2 linked regions of the Bombyx mori genome follow. The protein of the gene in region 2 interacts with the protein of the main gene of each other region in a pairwise test. Links are inferred from orthologs where the notes say so. Each region holds a gene or a part of one and is shown on either strand. Other genes may lie near its edges.

Evidence for each region.
Region 1: the proteins of cyclin-C (region 2) and NADH-ubiquinone reductase interact in binary tests that used the Homo sapiens proteins (3 or more experiments, as listed by UniProt). The link is inferred for Bombyx mori from reciprocal best matches to the Homo sapiens genes CCNC and NDUFV2.

The regions. Positions count from the first base shown.
Region 1 is NC_085117.1:7,841,654-7,845,413, forward strand, and holds the start of NADH-ubiquinone reductase, read right to left. Parts: upstream 2,750-3,760; 5' UTR 2,666-2,749; coding exon 2,630-2,665; intron 2,510-2,629; coding exon 2,384-2,509; intron 1,901-2,383; coding exon 1,710-1,900; intron 978-1,709; coding exon 830-977; intron 1-829.
Region 2 is NC_085121.1:11,205,358-11,209,117, forward strand, and holds the start of cyclin-C, read left to right. Parts: upstream 1-1,356; 5' UTR 1,357-2,644; coding exon 2,645-3,235; intron 3,236-3,316; coding exon 3,317-3,409; intron 3,410-3,515; coding exon 3,516-3,638; 3' UTR 3,639-3,760. UniProt on the Homo sapiens protein: Component of the Mediator complex, a coactivator involved in regulated gene transcription of nearly all RNA polymerase II-dependent genes.

The DNA of each region.
Region 1 (3,760 bases), on a different chromosome or scaffold from region 2:
TAGACATAGGTAACAAGCTAACAAATGTCAGTACTTAGAATTTTGTATTATGGACATACTTTATGTTAGGTAAACTAAAACGAAAAATCAAATACACCATTAATGTAGGCTCATTTGGTGTTCACGATTGACTTCCACGGTGAAGGAATAACATCGTGTAATAAAAACCAAACCCGCAAAAGTATAATTTGCGTAATCACTGGTGGTAGGACCTCTTGGAAGTCCGCACGGGTAGGTACCACCACCCCGCCTATTTCCGCCGTGAAGCAGTAATGCGTTTCGGTTCGAAGGGTGGAGTAGCCGTTGTAACTATACTGAGACCTTAGAACTTATATCTCGAGGTGGGTGGCGCATTTACGTTGTAGATGTCTATGGGCTCCAGTAACCACTTAACACCAGATGGGCTGTGAGCTAGTCCATCCATCTAAGCAATAAAAAAAAAAAAAAAATTTTTAAGTAATAAATACATATCTGCATAGTCAATTCTGTCCTATCTTTCTTAGTCTAGAATCCAAGCCAAATTAGTGTTATTTTTTAATGAAAAATAACAATATTTCCTTAGGAAAACGATTTTATTAGATTGATATTTAATATAAAATTTCAAATATATTCTTCTATTCAAAGCTTTCAAATTTAATATGCATCTGATGATGGGCATGCAATGACTGTGGTGCATGGACTGTGTATTCTCTCTACTGCTTTCAAGTATTTATAACATATTTAACAATCTAATGTAAAATTATTGTTAACCTTAGTATTATTATGTGTCATGTTGTTGTATAAGTCACTATGCTGATGCTTTCAAAAGAAATGACAATTTGGTACGAACCTCTGAAACAGAAAACTTGCCACAAGGACTGTTGCCTCCAACTTCACAGTTTGTTTCCTGTTTAATTGCATTCAATATGGCATCAGAGCCTCGAAGCCAGCAAGGAGTAGTCGTACATACTTGAACATGGTATTTACCAATTGGTCGTCTGTAATAGTTAATAATTCCGATAATTTTTTTATTGCTTGGACAGGTAACTGAGACCATGGCCCCCCTCATGTTAATGAACCCATAGACATCACAAAATTGACGCTGTTAATCTTTAAGGGCTTCAGAAAGCACTTAACACCAGGTGTACCGTGAGCTTGTTTACATGTAAGCTAAGCAATGAAAAAAATAATCACTAAACTAGTTATGGCCTATTAGTTAATGCTTAAACAGAGGACACCATACGAATAGAACTGAAGAAAAGTATTAAATCGAGGATAGCAAAGAAAAATAATTGTCTATGAACATATAATATTTAAATAGTAGATAAAAAAGATATGTAGTGTCGTGGGACACCGGATAAGAACGAAGTTCCTTATTATAAAAATATTTATTTTAAGTTCTATTCGAGGTATAAAGAAAATAAAACTGGAGGTTTCGCAACAACCCACGGTCATTCAGTAACGTGCGAACTTATTATGGTACACTTCATTCACGGCTGTTTCCATAAGAGTTAGTGTATTGCGCGAACGAACTCTCTGAGATCGTGGTCAATGAATGTTAAAAAGATATATTATTTTTTATACGTTTTTACAAAGTTACATCGTACACTGTGTGCATTACTAATAAAAATCTTATGTTATGGACGTTTTTTCCTGGTTAGCTTACCCCTCCGCATCGTCCCAAGGTAAGGAACTTCGTTCCAATATAGCATTTAATAGCTAATATTTACCTTATGAACATTGTGTAAAATGTAGCTACTTCATAAACTCTCATTTTTGGAAGATTTAAGATCTCAGCCACCTTGTGCATAGCTGAGATAGGTAGCCAGCCTCCACTTTGTCGTTGTGCCAGATCCAGTAAAGGAATCATGGCACCTCGCTTGTGACCTTCAGGGTAAATGGCCAACAAAGCCTCTACTCTCTGGAAAACAAAAATTAATATTGATTGATACATTTGAATTCAAAAAAACATACTATTTTATTTTTATTTTTAATATTTTTGTCAGATGTCAGACGTTCCATCCGTTATGTGCTTAAGCAGTACCTATAGCTATGGCATTGTGTAGCACTTATCTGAAAATGTGTCTCCAAGTCACAATATCAATGGTTAAATTCTTTTGTGAAATAATGGTACATGGCATTATTAAGATGGCAATATTATTGAATTCAGATTTGAATGATTTCTTCAAGTTTTGTTAAGTTTTTATTTGAACTAAGACAATATAATTAACAAGAAAAAAAATTTTAGAATTTTTTAAAATTGGAACACCTTTTTTTATCTAATTCTATTTAACTTAGAAAAAATTATAACTATTTATTAGAATACTAAAAATAGTCTTTTATTTTTATTTTCAATTGTCAGAAGATTCAAATTCAGATCCAGCAATAACAAATGAAGGCACACCTTTTGATTGGCCTGCGAGAACTCAAAGGGAATGCTCGGGTTGTCCTCAGGAGTGTCTCGGTGGACAAATAGACTGTCATGTTGCCTTGATGCTGTGGTCTGAATTGACCTAGAGGATATACGCCACTGAAATCAAAAACGACACTTTTTCAGTAGAAAAATAGGTATCACAAACGTCAAAACAATAATTATATAACCCTGTTATATCCAAAGTTTATGTATAATTGTGAGTGAAATTTTACCTACCAAGCCCTGTACTCCAGTCCTGAGGCTGGATAACATTTTTTTGATTGTATTCTAATTTGCTATAAAAGTTATATTGCGAAACACTGTTCGCGAACAGATTCGTTTTGCTCACAACTTCAGCTCAAACTTCATATCTCACTCATTCTACTGTGCGTTCTAAAACCAGTACATACCATTATTGCCAGTACATACCATTATTGTTTTGTCAAATATTTGTATTTAGTAATATTAAGTCATGACCAACTTGACTTTAAAGTAAAAAAAGGTGTAATAGCACGCAGTTATGAGAATTTGCTTAAGTTATAATTATTGTTTGAAATTTACTAACATATTTTAGAATCTTGTGAGCCGTGAAACCTGAGTGGCGAGTTTATTCTAAACGTACGCAACCAATCATTGGCTAACTTCAGACGGAACAAAGCCCCTGCGTATTATTTTAGCAAAATAACTCAAAACTAAAATTGCATTACGATTAAATGTTTCCGAACTCTTTTGTAAAAAAAATTGTTACTTAACGCATTACCTTTGTGCGAAAAATATCTTGATCGGAAATATATGAAGTATTTGATACACAATATTAATGTTCTGCAGCCGAGAAGACTATACCAAATATAACGTAAAATTACAAAATGTAGTCCAAGTTAGGGATGTAAACCGGTTCGAAGAAAACCGGAGAAAAACCGGTTTTTATACATACCGATAAATACCGGTTTTTATTTAAGAATACCGGTTTTTTACGCTTTACATTCACAGTTGTGCTACCAGTGCTACCAGTGCTACCAGATCAAATATACAAGCTACAAATATAAAAAAACCGTGTTTCAGAATCAAATTACCGTGCATTACATTTAAAAACTACAGTGCAATAACCACAATATGGTTGGTAGACTTTTAGCGTACGAAATGAGGACCGTGACCCAAATATCCACATATCTGCATCCAACACTCAGGAATGGCTTTGGCCAACCAGAGCATATGTTGTCTGCAAAAGAGATGGTGCATCGTGAACTGGGGAATCTTCTTGAAGAATTTTCAACTCTCGCTTTATAATCGGAACAGCCAGAAAAAACCACAAGCAATTTTAAAAAGCCTGGTATTCTGGATTTTTTGCATTCGCGAAAACGGGATATT
Region 2 (3,760 bases):
CATACAGAAAACACAACTTAGCAAATATATTCCACAGTTAATCTAAATAATTGCAAATAATGCTTTTGAAGATCGTTGACTTTTGATCATTAATTAAAATCATCTTCTCGTAGAATTTACAAAAGCTCATTTACAAAAATTTATATCAGTATTTTCATATATTACTAACTTACTAATTACAACTATTCAAAACGTAATAGTATAACTATAAGAACTAAACAACCTATTTTAAAACAAAATTGGCATCAATTTAGTTCTTATGAACTATTTCAATTATTAATTTATAAATTATAAACATATTTAAAAAAAATTAAGATCCCTTGTGAGTTCACATTCCTTGCTGAATCAGTTTCTCTTCTGAAACGGAGAAACAAAGTATCTTAAGTATGTAACAAATATTGAAAAAATACGACCATGAAAAATTTAGTGTTAATGTAATCATACTTACAAATTAATATATTACATAACACGTTCTGGTTCAAATATAGTGCATCAATCTTTTCATGTTTCAGACATTTTAGTGCTCCTTATAATTTTTCCATAAAATTTTGTCATTATCAAACCTTTGTCTACAAAAATAAAAACATTATTTTATATTGGGTAGAAGGATGAACGTGGTCACAGGCCACTTGGTGTAACTTGGTTATCAAACACCAGGAAACAAAATGTGAATGCCATCATTTAACTTTGGATGTGAGATCAATTGTGCTGTATTTTATTTAAACAGGAAAGCATGACTATCAATCAGTCATGCTTTCCTGTTTATTCCATTCCAAAAAACTAGTTCGGGCCCACTTGACAATAAGCATATAATACGCTGAGTTGCAAAACATAAATACTTCCACCCACTCGAGACAATTTTATTATCTGAGGTGTGTGTGTGATAGTACGAGACTTAACACCGACTGTTTTGATCAAACTTAACATATATGATAGCTAGGCAGCAGAAATAGGAAGGACCATTAGTTGGTGCTAATTCATTTAATTATATTATGAATAATAATTCTGTTAGCAAATAATATACCGGGAAAATAGTGTAAACTCACCGTTATCAAGGCATCCGAAATAGCATTTCATTTTCGATCTTCGAGGCATGCTGATTTTTAATAATAAACTTTCTGTAAGAAACGAAAATAGTTACACAGGCTTACGAAACGCTAACGAAGAAAAAAGTATTGGAACCAAGTTATGTCTAAAGAGAATTCAAAACAGAGTTTCTCAATGTCTAATCGTCTAATATTCTCATAAAGCTAAAAGATGCTCTAAATTAATACTACAACGTAAAATAACTCACACCAAGACAAAAAAAAAACGATTTAAAAAATTAAATCGTTACGACATTTTGAAAACGTTTTTTTTTTTTTTTGAGATTGTTTTACGGCCCTGGAATTTTGAAAACTTCAAAGCAGTGTTTCCACTTACGTTTTTTTAAACACATTTTACCCTAGTTTCTTTTGAATTTATCCCTAAAATTTCCTAGACAACTTTCATAAATCCTTTATATAGAAAGTATAAATAAAATACAGAAAATAAACCACAGCATATTATTTAATGTAGGTATATATAATATAAACGCCCCCAGAAGATCATAGATATATAGGATTAGAATTTTCAAGGAAGTCGACGCATTGCTTTTATATTCTTTTGCTGCACGCAACCTAACACTGTTCGGTTCTAAAATTGAGCAATTGTTTGCTGGCAAAGTTGGGAACTTTCTATGAAGCAAGCCGTTCAGGGTTTCATTAGAAAGCCTGTTTCTTTTGTCAGTTTTTACATTTGAGAACACTGAATTATCTTTCCACCTCAGTCTTTGAAGAAGGAACTGCTAGCAAAAGTGAAATGACAATTACAAGGTTTTCGTAAATGAAATTACCATGATAATCTTTCATGGTACATGAAGTACCTGTATATTACAATACAAGTAAGTTCTGGTGACATCAACGAAAATAGGTAAATAAAAGTTTGGCGGATTATACTTATTGGGATTCTGGGGAATCCCTAAGAAAAAAGCAGTGGCTTAATCTATAATTTACTTTACTAGAGGGTTACTGTTGAATCAAACCTTCTTTATAGTTTTTATACACAACTCTGTTTTATTCTTTTACTTGTCAACTCGACTTAATGTCATTCTCTCTCCATAAAATAAAATGTTCATTGTTTTACTTTAATTATCGTTTATTTTAAAATTCACAACAGTTACTAGTATAGGCTTTGCTTTTTACCCCGAACTATCCTAAATCCTGGTATTTTTTAAATTGTCTTTATCATCCAAAATATCAGCTATTTTTCCCTAAAAAAGGGAGAATTCCCTAAAAGTGGAAGCACTGCTTCAAAGTACGCTAACCTTTTTTATTGAGTCAGAACTCGTACCTGCCATCTAGTGAGTTTATTAGATCATTAAGGCCAAAACGTTTCAAAAATGACCTCGCCGGTTCCTAAAGATGACGCTAGTTGAATGTTCTTTTCCTTTGTATGGGAGTTGCACCCCCCTGGTTATGCATACATATTACTAAAATACACAGTTTCAAAAGTTTCATAGAATAGGAATGGATGGAAAAATGTTAAATTTGTAAAAAAAGTATGTTTTTTTGATAAATCAAAATTTACCAAATTTTAATAATTATTGTGTTTTGCCTTTGAAGAAATGGCTGGAAATTTTTGGCAAAGCTCACATCATCAACAATGGATACTCGATAAGCAAGAGCTAAGGCGCGATCGCCAGTTTGATTTGAATATTTTATCAGAAGAAGAATACCAAAAAGTATTTAATTTTTTTGCTAGTATAATTCAAGTTTTAGGCGAACAACTTAAACTTCGTCAGCAAGTAATCGCAACTGCAACAGTTTACTTTAAAAGATTTTATGCAAGGAACTCTTTGAAGTGTATTGATCCACTTCTTTTGGCACCAACATGCGTATTTCTTGCATCTAAAGTTGAAGAATTTGGTGTTATATCCAATTCCAGATTAATAACAACCTGCCAGACAGTTATAAAAAATAAGTTTAGTTATGCTTATGGACAACAAGAGTTCCCGTACAGGACAAATCACATTCTGGAGTGTGAATTTTATTTACTAGAAAATTTAGATTGTTGTTTAATTGTATACCAACCATATAGACCATTACTACTTTTTGTCCAAGACATAGGACAAGATGATCAACTTCTGACATACGCTTGGAGAATAGTAAACGATTCCTTGAGAACAGATGTTAGTTTGTTGTACCCACCCTATCAGGTATGATTTATGTAATGCAAATAGTCACATTTCATTTTTTATTCATAAAACTTTTCATTGCCATTATATTTTGAATTACAGATTGCAATTGGTGCCTTACAAATAGCATGTGTGATGCTTGGTAAAGACAATCTCAAACCTTGGTTTGCTGAGCTAAATGTTGACATGGATAAAGTGAGAAATATACTTGAATATATATTAAAATTAAAAAAAATATGGTTATTGTGTGGTTGTATTACAAAACTTCTGAAACTACTCATTTAAAAATTCAAATTTACAGATCCAAGAAATTGTGAGAGCTATCATTAACCTTTATGAGATGTGGAAAAGTTATGATGAAAAAAAAGAAATACAAGGGCTATTGTCCAAGATGCCCAAACCAAAGCCAGCTCCCCAGAGATAGCAAGACATATTTTGTAGTATGGATTTGTATAATGGATATATAATTTTTAATTGTAGACATGAAAAATTTGTTTTTAATTCCCTAGGAAAAGAAATTACTATTTTTGATGAGGTCACTTATAT